3 linked regions of the Coturnix japonica genome follow. The protein of the gene in region 3 binds, or shares a complex with, the protein of the main gene of each other region. Links are inferred from orthologs where the notes say so. Each region holds a gene or a part of one and is shown on either strand. Other genes may lie near its edges.

What was found.
Region 1: the proteins of MYBL2 (region 3) and LIN52 are in contact, whole or in part, in a crystal structure (PDB 6C48), measured with the Homo sapiens proteins. The link is inferred for Coturnix japonica from reciprocal best matches to the Homo sapiens genes MYBL2 and LIN52. Residues at the interface, in NP_002457.1 of Homo sapiens: Trp663, Val666, Ala667, Gly669, Thr671, Asp673, Gln674, Phe676, Lys680, Ala681, Gln683, Leu684; in NP_001019845.2 of Homo sapiens: Gln84, Ala87, Tyr88, Gly91, Leu92, Glu94, Ser95, Met98, Thr99, Lys102, Phe103, Leu107, Glu108, Lys109.
Region 2: MYBL2 (region 3) and TFDP2 share a complex: the UniProt entries of both Homo sapiens proteins name them as parts of the DREAM complex. The link is inferred for Coturnix japonica from reciprocal best matches to the Homo sapiens genes MYBL2 and TFDP2.

What each region holds. Positions count from the first base shown.
Region 1 is NC_029520.1:34,236,489-34,241,628, reverse strand, and holds the start of LIN52 (protein lin-52 homolog), read right to left. Parts: upstream 3,376-5,140; 5' UTR 3,284-3,375; coding exon 3,265-3,283; intron 3,178-3,264; coding exon 3,103-3,177; intron 3,008-3,102; coding exon 2,970-3,007; intron 2,449-2,969; coding exon 2,382-2,448; intron 1,884-2,381; coding exon 1,800-1,883; intron 519-1,799; coding exon of another isoform or gene 505-518; exon of another isoform or gene 1-504. Other genes in the region: ALDH6A1 (methylmalonate-semialdehyde dehydrogenase [acylating], mitochondrial), read left to right, coding at 3,578-3,628, 3,762-3,821, 4,665-4,739.
Region 2 is NC_029524.1:8,785,179-8,790,382, forward strand, and holds the start of TFDP2 (transcription factor Dp-2), read right to left. Parts: upstream 3,376-5,204; 5' UTR 3,201-3,375; intron 44-3,200; exon of another isoform or gene 1-43. UniProt on the Homo sapiens protein: Can stimulate E2F-dependent transcription.
Region 3 is NC_029535.1:3,100,441-3,105,142, forward strand, and holds part of MYBL2 (myb-related protein B), read right to left. Parts: intron 3,762-4,702; coding exon 3,541-3,761; intron 3,377-3,540; coding exon 3,220-3,376; intron 2,630-3,219; coding exon 2,360-2,629; intron 1,575-2,359; coding exon 1,188-1,574; intron 3-1,187; coding exon 1-2. UniProt on the Homo sapiens protein: Transcription factor involved in the regulation of cell survival, proliferation, and differentiation. Transactivates the expression of the CLU gene.

The sequences.
Region 1 (5,140 bases), on a different chromosome or scaffold from region 3:
AAATAGGTATATTTATGATGGATCATCGTGGTCCAGAACAGCATTATTATCAGTTATTCAGACAAAAACAGAAGCCTTTAAAAATCCAAAGGAATTGAAATGTAGAAGCGGGCACTGGAAAGTAATAAAAATAAAACACTGACACAATAAAGCAGAAATGTTTTCACACAATACAGAGGAAACAAGAAAATAGTGTCAAAAGGACAGTGCAAATTTAGAACACAAGAAGCGTCAAAATAACTCTTGAGACAAATCAGGACAAACTGCACAAAATTAAAAGTATCAAGACCTCTATCAGAAGCTTCATGATGCCATCTAGAGGAGGGTGGTCAGCAAGGTTTCTTAATTCTGTTTTTGATAAGCAGTTTTGATTATCAACTATGTAAAATATAGAATACTGTGTTTCAATACAAAAAGATGTAATCAAATTATATACCACTGAAACAAAAGCACAAGCTCTTTAATATTAATGAGCAGATCTTTGGGATTTTTCTTCTTGTTCTCTTAATAACCTAGGTCTGCAAAGAGAAAAAGACAGTATTGGAAGAAACAGTGCTGAGAGCCCATGTCAAACTCAGCATTTAATTATATATGGAAGATTTCCTAACATACATGTATACGTCATGACACACAAAGCACTCAATGTGTTACAGAGATAGACTTTGGTGAAAATAAATTGCAAATACAGTGAGACGTTATATAAATCGAGAAAGCAAACCACCAGCCAATCTTATTATTTGATTAAGATTTCCATTGTTAAAGTATAACTTCTACTCCACTAAAAGCTTTATTCAATCCTTGTAGATGTTGGCACTGAAAGTAAATTTCTACCTATGGAGAGAGTGTTCAAACAGGCTTAATGATCTATTGATAAGAAATATGTATTCCAGGCTCACAATCACGAGACTTCAAAGTTCAACTGCTTTTTGTTACCCACTGAAATAAAGCTGAAAAAAATCTTTGAGCCTAAAAATTTTCAAAGCCTCATGTAAAGCTCAAGAGTTTGCTAAAACTGAAGTCTAAGACAGAGCAAAATAAAGCAGTAAAAGTTAAATGCATCAGTACACACAGATACTGTTTAAAGGAAGCACAATCCCTTTGGAATCTTCAAAGCCGGATCAGCACATTAACAACAAAATCCTATATGCAATGACAATAAAAAAAACGCATCTTCCCCCCATCCCCACCCCCACTCCCACCCCCACCCCCCTTCAAAAAAGGCACTGACATAAATTGGTTGTTGGTAAGCAGGATGAAGGTCAACTTTAGAATGCAGTGACAGCACCTCCTGCTATAGCTGACTATGGAAAATAAATAACTGCAGAAGCCCAAAGTTACAAGAGCACTAATGGCTAACAGAATCCTGCACACCAGTTACATTTTCACTCTGTAGGCAGTACACAAACGCACAGTCACAGAAGTGGTGGCACAGATACTCTGTGACAGAGTGTTAGCACCTAAGCGGTAAATGAAGCAAACTGAGTGATTTACCTAAGCCAAAGTTAAGTCAGAAATTGATGGGCCACTAGAAAACACTGGACCTTAGCATTCAAAACAGAAAACAAGACCTAAAATAAGAAATTCTTTTAAATGTGCTCTATTAGGCTCCACTGCATCCATGATAGACTTGCTTAGAGCAGCACTCTTTTTTTCTTCAGAAAATTCTCTATTGCACTGTCATAATTGTGTGACATTCCCCACTTCAGCAAACGTACTTTTCTGACTGTAAGTGCAACATAAACACACACTTCAGTGGCAAGATTCATAATACAGTCATCACATCTGTGCACAGAACTCACATTCATCCAGTCCCAGCTGATATGCCAAATTCTGCAGGCCACGAACCTTTTCCATCAGGTTGGCTGTAGTGAGGCTTCCCAGCTCTAAAAGGAAAAAGCGTGATTTTTAACACTGTAGCCCTCTAGTGGCAGCTTATGTTTATCGCTTCACAGAGCATTCAAGTTATACTTTGAACAGTATCGGTTTACAGTGTACAGCATATGTTCTTCAGCTCTCACAACTCATAATAACCAGCAAGACATTCTAACTGTTCCAAAGCAATCAAAAAAAATGAAGAAAAAATAAACAGCAGGGATTTACTGCTTCAAAAAGCAGTAACAAGGAGAACAACAGCATTTTTGTTATCAGTATATATTCTTGTGGGACCAACTAAAGATAGAGGCAATTGACAAGACAAAGACTCCTAAGCAGAATCATTCAACTGGAGATGTTCTGCAGGTTAAGATGGTCTGCAGATTAAGAGGAGCATCCCCCATCCCTTCCTTTCCACAAGGCTTCAGAAGGTCTCTGAGCTCATCTTTTTAGTAGGCACTGAATTCCCACCCGCAGACAGCCTCAGTGCCCATGGAGCCCATACTCACCCTTTAACATATCGATATCATCATTCTCCAGTTCAGCCATCCATTTGGGAGGCGAGCTTGTAATAGGCTGGTTTGGGGGGGAGGAAAAAGAAAAAGAACAAAAAGAAAGGAAGAAAAAAAAGCAAAACATTCTCAGAGAAGTACATTTTTAGCTGCATACAAAGCCTGATATAGCATTTACACACACAGAATTGTAGGGGTTGGAAGGGACCTCTAGAGATCATCGAGTCCAACCCCCCTGCCAAAGCAGGCTCCCTACACCATGTCACACAGGTAGGTGTCCAGGCGGGTCTTGAATATCTCCAAAGAAGGAGACTCCACCACCTCCCTGTGCAGCCTGTTCCAGTGCTCCGTCACCTATTTACAACCAGTTACACTGAAAGAATAAACGCGATGGCTCCAGGCACCCTACAGGGCTACTCTAATGCCTAGAAAGCTCTTCCTGGACGAGTTGGGTGTTACTGCAAGTCACAGCCAAAGCCAGCAGTAAGAGCAGCACCCCCAGGGCTTAGAGCAGCGCGTTCCTGCGCAGCTCGTCCCTCCCGCAGTGCCTGTATGACCCGCAGTGCCGTGGTGTTGGCATCTTACGCTTTTGAAGGAGGCGGCGAACTCGGCGACGCCGGGCACTGCAAGAGAGAACCGAACAGCGCCGGGTGAGCGCGGGGCCGGCCCGGCAGCCCCGCCATCACCCCAGCGACACGGGCCCGCCGCACTCACTCACACTGCTCAGGCCACAGGTCCGGAGAAGCCCGGTCGAGCTTCTCGAAGCTCAGCAGAGAGGCTTCCAGATCGGCACCTACAGCACAGGGAGTAGAACGGAGGTGAAGCGGCGCCCGCTCAGACCGTACCGCAGGGTGACGATGACCCCATTCGCGCGCCTTACCGTCACCGGGAGCCGCCATCTTGCCTGCGTCACGTGACCTAAACCCACAGCCCGCGGGAATCCACCCACGTGACAACAGAGCCCGAGCGCCTTAGTGCTCGTGGCCAATCGCTGCCCCGGATGGGGGGGCGGTGGCGGGAAAGGGGCGGGGCGACGCTCTCCCTGGCAGCGATTGGCTGGCGGCCGGCAAGGCCCCCTCGGGGGGGGCGTACAGCGGGCGGGGGGGGCGCTCGTCTGGCCAATGAGCGGGCGGGGGCGGGTCCCTGTGCTGGGGGCTCCGCTCGGGGTCCGAGCGCTGTGACCCTCGGCCGGGATGGCGGCGGTGGCTCGTGGCGCTTGGGGCGGGCGGCGCGTGGTGCTCAGGGTGAGGCGGCACACGGACACAGCGCTGCGGGAGGGGCCGCGGGTGGCACCTCGGGGGGCGGTGGGGAGGAGGTGGGGGGTGTGGAGGAGGAGGGGAGCACCGTGTAACCGGGCTGCTCTGTGTCCACATCCAGCTGCCGCGGACAGCCGGGGCTCCCTGGATCGCTTCGGCCGCCGTCTCCTCCTCCTCCGTGGTGAGTGGGGCCGGGCAGCTCTGTTTGCTGTTGGGCTGGAGGGGCCCGCGGCGGTGGCTCCGCCGGGCCGAGGAGCAGCTCGGATTTCCTGCTCTCCCTTCAGTTCTGAAGATGGTGTTATCCCGAGTGCAGCCCGCGGCACGGCTCGTCCCGCCGTAACGCCAGCCACATCAGCACTTGTCATGTCTTATTCTTATTTTAACCCACCGCCGCGTTCCTTCACAAGCCGAGGCCTCGCTTATCCATTACACTCTTCGCAGCCGTGACCTGTCCGGCTCAGCCCCATTTATTTTCCTGATTCGTCCTTTGATCCCTCTCCCACCATCACAGCAGCATTAGCATCCCTGCCCTCACCAGGTGAACTGCCCGGTGGATGAGGGAAAGGCTGTTGGCACAGTCTACCTAGACTTCAGCAAAGCCTTTGGCACTATATTCCAATCTCTTCACTTATATGGCCCCAGTTCTTCCTGCATGTTGCAGCACTAACTGCATCTTCTACCCCTGCTTTTTCTTCTCCATACTTACCTGAACTCCTTAACTAATGGGCAGAATTCTTACCAAGTGAATTATTAACTGGTTTCTTTTAAATATGTCTGTGAACTGCAGGGTTTTTATGACTTAGCAATTGTAGTGACTGAGTAGATTAAAATAGTTCTGAACATGATTCTATCAATGTGTATCTTCTGTAATAGTTTTTAGACGGGGTTTTGACAATTTTAGCCTAAATCAAGGGGAAAAAAATGATGGAGTACAGTGGGAAATAGCAAAAGCCTGCACATAACAGGGCACATTGTTATGTGTGCACTTTCAGGGAAAGATCACTCACTGTGCTGTCCTCCACAGCCAACAACTAAACTGTTCATCGATGGGAAGTTTGTCGAGTCCAAAACCACAGAATGGATTGATATCCACAATCCTGTAAGTGAAATGGCTTCTGCTCATATACCCACAATCGGTGTGCAAGAGGATGCTGTGATTTCCTTGAATCACTCGATGAAAGGGGGAAGTATGTGTGCTTCTGGAGAAAGCTTAGAGTTGGAGCTTAAGACTTTTCTTAACTATTTTTCACATAGAAAGGCTCTGTGAATGTGATGTCAAAATTTCAGCTGTCATCCTGCATATATGCAACCTGATATGGTTTGATGCCAGCTGAACATGAAGTCCTGATCAAACTGCAAATTATGTCAGACAAGCCTCTGAAATTCCCACTCGGGAAACAGTGCTTCATTTACAGTTTGCTGAGTGCCTGATCTGAGATGTGTAGACTGAAGATTTACAGAACTACAAAATGCATAGAATTCCAGCTATGGTCCAGGCCT
Region 2 (5,204 bases), on a different chromosome or scaffold from region 3:
CCTGCCAGCAGCAGCTGGAGGGAAGTGGAGAAACACGACTTTTCAAACAGAGGAGCACGGCCTGACTTCTGAGAGAAAAAACACTGAGCCATTAGTGTAAGATAACAAAACCTGCAGAAGAGCTGCTATAAATCCAGAAACACAGGAAAAATCAAGCGGCTCTCATTCTAACAATGGATGCTACAAAAAGACAAAGAATCAGAACAGGCAGCTGTTGTAAAACCAACATTCCACTGCTGTATCTGCTCCTTTCTGCACTGCTTCCAAGCATACAGAAGCATGTGCTGAGTTCTTCAAGCCCCACAACAGACATTCACACCATTGGTTTCCATGTCCTATGCACACTGGTTCTGTGCATTGCTCTCCTCTGAACACCTGTCAATTGTGAGCCTGTCTCATTGGCTCCAGTGGCTTTTTGGTTCTGTACACACAACCACCTCCACAAGCACATTTCCTGCACCAGGCCAGACAACTGCCAGCTTATTTTCCCTATTTTACAACCCGCTGTTGGTTCATTAGTAGTTGTGTCCTACGAATACAATTGGAAAAGTAAATGAGAAATTCTTACTCGTTACACCTCCAAGTATGTGCAGAAAAAGCACACAAAGAAAGAAACCTCAGCTTACTGAACCTGCCCGGTACGGGCTGCAGTTTCCCTCCCCTGACCCGGTCAGCTCATTTCAGAGATGAGCACCATGCTCTCCCCAACGCACAGCGAGTTTTGCTGACTTCAAATGACCAACATCACGTGTTCCTGAAGGGGATGGAAAGCTGGAACCACAGTTCCTACTTCTTGCTAAACCCAGTGGAAGGTGCTAAAATACAAAGCCTTATCTTCACTTGGTGGTTGCTCACAGGCAGCTCCAGATGTATAGGAGGCTCCTGCAATACTGTCCAATACACACAAGAACAGGAACAAACCAGGAGTCCTCCTGCAGCAGGAACAGCCCTGCTGTGCTGCTCAGCCTGCTCCTTCACATGGCAGAGCTGTGCTGAGCTGCTGCACACAAGGCACAGCCTCACCACTCTGTGAAGTGAGCCGACCCACTGGAACCCACTAGAGGAACAGCGGCCTTCCCATCAGTGCCGTATGATTTCAGCAACGCTAATTCTATCAACCTCACGCAGGTCAAACAGCTTCTTTTGGTTCTGTTAGCACAGTGATTTCTGTGCAAGCAGGAAGCGGTTACAAGAAGCCCCAACAGCTTGTCTGTAAAATGTGATCAGTCTAACACACAGCCATGAGGTAAACCTACCAATATCTAACAATTAACCACCTTTTCCTCTGTACAGAACTGAACCATTCTCAGAGCCATTACTCTTAGCTCTTCCAGAGGCACCAGGCTCACTGCACAACCATTTCCCAACAAGAATTTATGCTTTTTCTCCCTCTCCTCACCATTTATTTGATGTATGTTCATTTCTGCGACGTGAACTTAAGCTTCCACGTTTCTTTGAAGTGCTGCATCAGGTGCCCAGCAGGTTACTGCAAACACAGGCTCTCAAAATGCAGAATTTGGCTATGTACAAAAATGCCTCCATGCAATACAGAGCACCAGCAAAAACGTCCCGAGATGCTGTTCCACCTCTGTGCTCCAGCAGCAGCCACGGGTCTGCCCCGTGTGAGCACATCACTGCACTCATGGACAAGGTAAAAAGTGCTACAATCAGGAAAACAAGCCTTAATGCAGGCAAAGAAATGGCAAAGCTGTTACTCGTTTCTCTTCTAGTAGCATCAATTTATACAGTCTCTGCCTCTCTCTATGTATATGTTCTGGCTTTTTTTTAATACAAGATCACATCTAGTCGAGATGTGTGCAGTAGATGTGTACAGTACCACAAAAGCAGCTCTGGTTCTGACCTCATTTCTACTGCCTTACAGTACAACTGTGCAGCTGAAAGAAACCAACAGCGAGGAATATTAACAAAGACCCGTGAAAATAACCGAACCCATTTCCAAAATAAAAACACCGGTCGCGTAACCATCGCATCTGAATTTCCCACCCGCCGTGTTGAAGAGTGAGCAAGTCAGTGGGCGCCGCTCCGCACAGACGCGACCACCCGCTTTGTGTCCGCTCACAGCACGGCGGGGCAGGAGGCACAAGGAGCGGAGCAGCACGTGAGGGCGGCACGGAACGGAACGGAACGGCAAAGCACAGCAATGCACGACGCAGCAATGCACGGCACGGCACAGCAATGCACGACGCAGCAATGCACGGCACGGCACGGCACAGCACGGCACGGCACGGCACAGCACAGCAATACACAGCACAGTAATGCACGGCACAGCAATGCACGGCACAGCAATGCACGGCACGGCACAGCACAGCAATACACAGCACAGTAATGCACGGCACAGCAATGCACGGCACAGCAATGCACGGCACAGCAATGCACGGCACAGCAATGCACGGCACAGCAATGCACGGCACGGCACAGCACAGCAATACACAGCACAGTAATGCACGGCACAGCACGGCGCTCCGCAGCCCGTTGCCAGCCCCGCGCTGCGGTTTTCTCCCCCGTTCGGAGTTAGCTCCCTTACGAGCTGTTTTCTTCCCTTTGTCTGCACACCCGGATCCGATCCGCCGCACTCACCCCGCCATTCGCCTCCGCCTTGAAGCCCGTGCGGCCTACGGCGTGCAGGGCAGGCCCTGAGCCCTCAGCCCTCAGCCCTGATCCGGCGGGGCGCGGCGAGCGGCGCTTCCAACTTTTGTCGTGGCGGCCTCGGCGCGTCCCCGGGCACCGCGCGCACCACAACGACCCCCCACAACAACCCCCCCACTCCGCCCCGCCGCCATCGGCACCGCGGCCCGGCCGCTCACACCGGCCCGTCACCGAGAGGCCCCGCGGCACCCTGCGCCGTGTCACGTACCGGCGGAGCCCCAAACACAGCCGGGAGAGCGCGCGGCCAACGCAGGTGTCAGGTCAGCGGCCGCACCGGCACAGACACACACACACACACACACTCACACACCCCGCCTCACGCAGTCACACCCAGGCCGTGGTGCGGTGCAGGCCCTGTCCTTCTCGAGGCGCGTTTGAAGCGCAATCCCCGGCCCGAATGAAGGCGCTGCTGTCCCGGCGGGATCCCGACGCGTGTCTCTCAGGCCCGGGCGGGAGAAGGGAACGAACGCGGCAGCGCCACCGGACCCGGGCGGCGACGCTGAGGCGCCGAGACGCGCCGTCCGCTCACTTACCGGCCGCGGTTCCGCTCCACACGCCGCCGCCTGGCGAGGAGCCCCGCAGCTCGGCCCGGCAGGGACAGGCCGCGAGTCCCGCTCCGTGGCGCCGCGATCGCTGCGCGGCTGCTCCGGCCCGATCCCGCCGCGCTCTGCCCGGCTCCTTCTCCCCCGCACAAGCTTGGCGGCGTCTGCCGGCCGGCCGCTCCCATTGGCCGCCGCCTCGCGCGAGGTCGGGCGCCCTCGGCGCACCATTGGCCGCGCCTGGTGTGTGTACACACGCCGCCAGCCAATCCGAGGAGGCCGCTGCGAGAGGGGGCGGGGCGGAAGGGCGGGGCGCCTCTTCCCAGGCGGCGCCTCAGATGCGTGTGGAGCCGCGACACGGCGGGAACGGGACGGAGCGAGCGGGGCGGGGAGCGGAACGGAGTGCAGGGAAACACAGCACAGCTGGGTGTTACTGATGGACAGGGACGGCAGGGAACAGCCATCGGCACCAGAACAGGGTCCTGAGCTAAGGAGCGAGAGCCGGATGGTTATTGCCGTGGGACGGCTCACAGGCGGTTATTAATCACAGGCCCAGGAATGTGCTGACCGTGCGCTTTCTGTTCTTTATCATTCCCTACGAAACAGTCACACGTAACAAGACCTTTATCAATACCTGCAGTTACGTAAGAAGCTTAAACGAAAGCATTAATAAACCATATGCAAAATGGAGCATTCCCTCACATAGCTGCCAAGGCCCCAAGCAGCTCACAGTCAACACAGCAGGCCGTGCAACGCAGCAGGCCGTGCTGCGGGAAAGGAAGGCAGCAGAACAGAAGCCAGGCAGAGTGCCTGGTTTCCTGCAGTCCTCCTAAGTTCCATGTGCTAAACCCAGATCTGAACTCAAATACTGCCTCAATAAAAAGTCATGTGTGTCTTTAAAACTTCTTTCTAGTTCATTTGGTTATTTTTATGCAGTGCTTACAAAGTTATGTCAGATGCTGTGATTACAAGAAAAAGGCATTTAACCATTGTGGAAAGGAGATGGACGGTGACTGCTGTAGCTGGCATTGGCTTTCAGTGCCTGCAGAACGAGCTGCCTTTGTATGCACACACTGCTCAGCTTGGAGATGCTGAAATGGTCAGTTTGCAGTAAGCACCACTTGTGCATGGTTCTAAACCAACCTGTTACTCCTCAGAACTTAGACACAGCCCAAACTCAGTCTCAGAAGGAGATCCACACTGAACACTGCTGTAACAGGTTCCTTAGCTCTGCAGGGAGTCAGTGATTTCCTGCAGTAAGACCCACACTTCGGAAGCTCTGACGCTGCTCTCTGGTTGGTGGCTCAGCACAACACCGTGTTCCCCATCTGGTTGATACTTTCCAGATCATCTCCCCTTTTCCTTTTCATAACACGTTACTTTGCACTGTTTGCTCATTTCAATGCTTTGTGAGCCCACAACCCATGCTGTAATATCAACACACACCCATAACCCCCACAGCCCACATTTCTCCTGAAGAATGAGCTCAACTTGTCCGTCTCGCTGTAAAACCTCAAACTAAAATGTGGCCCAACCTCTGGGTTGACATACTCCGACCTGCAGTTTGTCTGAAGAGGAAGCGACATCTTTGCCTGTACCTCTGGGTCTGGAACGGTAAGAGAGAAAAAACACAACAAAAAGAACGTTTAAAAAACCTATCCTTATTTCATGCCCCACTGACTGGCAAGAAATGGTTCTTACCTTATTTTCACAAGGCTGCTGTTCAAATGGTGAGTCCCAGCTGCTCCCTGAGCCCGAGTACATGGCACTAGCTGAAGGATCTTGCTACATAGACCACAAAAGACTGAAGCAGCAATTTGTTATTTTCCCTTTGGAATTTCTTCCAACAGAAGCACATGTACGAACACTCTTGTCAAAAGCAGGTAAGAGAGAATTAATTTTTCATAAAACTAACTGCGAAAGGAGAGAAGAAAATGTTTTTGTAAATGGTGGCACAGCTGATTACGTTGAAATGTTACACATCAGTGACTCGACTGT
Region 3 (4,702 bases):
AACTGCGTAACATAGGTAAGAAAGAGGAAAACAGTCAGTCTCAAACTTCCCAACATGGTGTCCAGTGGCTAAAGTGGGTTCTTTACAGTAGATTACACAAGAAAGCACCCAGACAGATTTTGAAGGAGAGTCTACAACTCCTGTGGGCAGCATGTTTCATAGAGAAAATATTTTCCTCATACTCATATGGAACTTCCTATGTTCTCAGATTAATTCCAGGCATCTCAGCTTCTCATGGCAGAACTGTACTATTCAGGTCTCACTTTAATTCCCCAGTTCTTGATGGCCTCGTATTCAAGGTTGATTTGAACCTGGGTATCACAGCCCTATGGTGTTCTACCACGTTCCACCGAGGACAGCAGAAACACCAGAAATATAAAGTCCTGGAAGGTTCAGCTAGTGGCACAGGGAGGCAGAGTGTGAATGACAGAGAAGCTGTAGAAGTTTTGCTAGATGGCACAGAAGTGCAGCAGGATTTATCCTGTCTTACTGACAGAACTTCACTGTGTCAAGATAGGAATCAAGGGGTCTGAATGCCATAGCACTGCAGTAAGGCATTTGTTGTGAGACCAGGTATGGATGCTACCACAGTCATAGTAAAGATGGGAAAGACCTAAGCTTACATAACAAAGACAAGGCCCATGAGTACATCCCTGTGCCATCAACTCACAGATGTGCACCAGCAGATGCTGTCCACACAGATGACAGTGCTAAAAATAAGGAAGAAAAGCAACATGCACTGTCACAGCACTGCTATCCCCTGCCAGTAATGCCCACACACAGCACCCTGGACAAGGAAGCACTGTGCTCTCTCCTGCAGTAGGCAGGTGCAGATCTGCACAGCAGTGCTCCCTCCTCATAGCAGGCACTTGGCCTTATCCATCATACAGGGTAACTGGGCTTGGCCTGTGCTGCAAGCACTCCAGCTGAGGGAATCACAGTCTGCTGCTCTCGCAGAAAGAGCTGCACTGAAGACAAGCAGCGTCAGAACCAAACTCTGCACCCTGTTCTACCAGAAACACATGCATACCCTATGCACTGGAACTGCCTAATACAAGAGAGAAGAAATACAAAGGTGGCAGAGATTATGAGATTAGAGTATTAAGGCAAAGCATTGACATTGCTTACTAGTTCACAGACAAACCCAAGCGGAGGAGCCCAGGCTGGCCAGCACCACTGTTCTGTACCTGAGATGGAGAGAAGGGCAGTGTCTTGACAGGGGTGCTCTTAGGCGTCATGCTGTTGCAGGAGTCAAGGAAGGAGAGGCTGGTGCTGGGGGCATTCTCCGTGACAGGGGATAGGGAGATTTTCCTCTTCTTCTGCCTCTTCAGCACAGAGGGCGGCGTGCCAAAGCTCACCTCCGCATGTGGTGAAATAGGGATGAGTTCCCCCTTGCTGCTCTTGCTCAGGTCGGAGATGGTGTCGCCATCCAGGCGGTACTCAGTCACGTTGGGTAGGGATGGAGTTGGTTTGCTGGGTGTTTGCCGCACTGGGCTGTTACTACTGCTGCTGCTGCCTGCAGAGGGTTCTTCAGGCAGGTCAAATTGGGTCAGGTCACACCATCCATCTGGGTCCTGCGTACAAGAGAAGCCATCAGAACCAGCCCAGGAAAGAAAGCTGGGCAGCTGGCTGGTGCAAACAGAGAGGTTAGCTGGGAGGTGAAAAAAGCAGGTGTGCAAGACTGCGCTGCTTTTTGCAAGGAGCCTGGTTACAGAATAACTGAAGCTCTCTGTCCTTTGCAGTCAGCTCAGTTGAGAACCAGACCACAAGCCTGATCCAGCTGAAAGCTGTTCGTGCATAGGGCAGTTTTTACGCTAGGCTGGTTTCCCAGTTCAGTTCACAGCACAGCTGTAACACACAGCTGCACCCAAACACAGGGGGCAAAAGAGAAGTGGCCAGGGACAGAGTATGAAAAAGGTGACTGTTGCCAAACTTGGTCACACCAAAATGGGTGGGCACAGGGCTATTCTGTAAAGCAGGTTGCTGTAAACAGATGAAAAATAGCCAGAGCCATTCACAGCTCAACCCCATCAATACAAGTACCATTCAAACAGGCCTCTAAGGATGCACAAATTGGACATTAAGCCTTGGGCACAAAGTCCTTCTTTGCAGGTGTGAATATTTCACAGATAATCAGCTCATAAACCAGATTGCAAAGATATTTCCCCTTTTTGGCTGCAAAGTGTCCTGAAAATGAATTAATCTGGAGGCTAAACTAAAGGAATCCATACAACTTTCCTCAGGATACCTGTGGTGATAAGCAAGGTGACCCAGCGAGCTCACTCAACAGAACAGTGGTGGAAATCAGGTCCTATAAGTCTCACTCCACTAGCTGGCGGAGCAAAGGTGTGCTACTTACAGATTCAATCATGTCCAGAGCTTCATTTAATGCTGGGACAGATGTAGGACACAAATAATTGGCAGCTTCGACGACCCACTTGTACGGAGATGCAACAGATGCTGAGGCATCCTCAGGCACCACATCATCTGAGGTTCCTTCCCCGTTGTGCTCAGCCAGGTCGGCAGCTGGCAGCTCTGAGGGTAACTCCTGCAAACCCGTCACCTCCTCATCGCTGACATCCTCTTCCTTTATTTCAGAGATATCAACCGGCCAGTTTGGCACAATGGTCTTCACACAAACAAGAAAGAAAGCGCAGCCATTAGCAGAAACCAAGTGAAGAAGATCAAGTCCAAGGGCACAAGCACAGATCCTTGGGCCCACCACGTTCCTCCCGCTTTCATGGAATCACAGAATGGCCTGGGTTAAAAATGACCACAATGATCATCCAGTTTTAACTCCCCTACTGCATGCAGGGTCATCAACCACCAGACCAGGCTGCCCAGCGTCACATCCAGCCTGGCCTTGAATGTCTCCACAGATGGGGCATCCACAGCCTCCTTGGGCAACCTGTTCCAGTGCGTCACCACCCCCTGGGTGAAAAACTTCCTCCTAATATCCAACCTAAACCTCCCCTGTCTTAGTTTAAAACCATTCCCATTAAAAACTTTCCTAACAGCCATTTGGACCATCCTACATCCCTGTTCTCCTTCAATGCTCTGTCCCATACACCACCTGAAGGAGCCCATACAAATTAAGAGGACTATTTAACTGAGTTAATGCAAAGACAGCATTAGAGGCAGTAGCAGGGTGACTGACCAGCTCTGATGCACGTTAGCAGAGCAGAGATGGACCCAACAGCCCACATACTTGTGCAGTACCTGGCTCCCAGCTCTTGTTCCACTTTGGCTCTCATTGTCATCCACTTCCACTAGCAAGTACAGTGGCTGGGACTCCTTTGTTTCATTGAGGAATCCTCCTGTATCCACTTTGCGCTTGATGGTGGAGTTCCAGTGATTCTTCACAGCATTGTCAGTCCTGCAGAGAAAGCAAAAGAAAACAATAAGTTATTATTATCAGCAGCCTTAAAGCACAGCTAGCAATTCCTGTGAGCTCCCCAGCCTCATCCTGTGAGACCAACACATGATCTCCACAAGCCACCCAGCTCTGAAGGTACCAGTGAGCAAAGACATCCATCCTACCTCCCAGGCAGCAGTTTGGCAATCTCAGCCCAGCGATTCCCCAGAACCTTGTGGGCCTCAAAAATGATGCGATCCTCCTCCTCTGTCCACGAGGATTTCTTAACCTCAGGATTCAAGTGGTTATGCCAGCGTTCCCGGCACTGCTTCCCTAAGCGTCCTTTCAGGTGCTTGGCTATCAGAGTCCATTGTTTGGTGCCATATTTTTTAACAAGTTCAATTACCTTGGAAGAAAACAGGAAGGAAATCAGGAAATGAGACAATCAATACAGGTGTTGCTTTGCATTTCACCTTTGTTGGGACCGGGTACAAGAAGACAAAGAAGGATCCAATAAGTCAAAAACACTGGAGGGTCCCAGCACTGACACATGACACTGTCAGCAACAGGTGAAAAACATTTCCGTGAGCAACAATACAACCAAAAGCCTGGAAGAGGCAGTTTTCATGCAGCCATTTTACCACTTGACACCTATGGATGTAGATGATGGCTCACATAAGACTAGGACAGAGACAGGCAGATGCAGTGAGGAACAAGTCAGAGCAAAGCACCAGGTACCACATGCTTCAAAGCTCCTCTGCCTTCCTCTCTTCCCAAGAACCTGGCTGCATGAAAAGAGCTTTCACCGTGCCTATATTACTGCCTGCTGGGACAGCATGGCACAGCCATCCTTCAGCAGAGGGTACAGCCCCTGGTGAGGACACAACCTGCAGTTTCATGCCCCACTAATGCCACAACACGTGGTGCAAGCACAAAGCAAAAATGAGCAAAATTCACTTAAAAGCCATCTGCTTGGCAATTTCCTCTTCGCCTAGGGCCTTTACATGTTGGCCTAAAGCTCAGTGCAAATGCTTCCAGGTAGGGAATCTTTTCTGGCTGGCCTGAAATAAATCCATGCAACAAAGCAATGTAACATAACATGCTGCTCGCAGTGTTTATCCTGCCAATATCTCAGAGAGGAGGCCAGATGACTCCAAAAGAGCACTTTTACCCTCTCCAGCAGTGCTTAGCTGAAAGGTGCAGGTAGCAGGTGCACCACAGATCTTGCTCACAGGGTCCATAACTAACACTCCTATTGCAGACTGACTGCCTAGGGCAGACAAATGGGCCACAGATACCCACGTTCAAGGATCTGGATTGTTTGCAGTGCAAAACTATCCAGCTTCA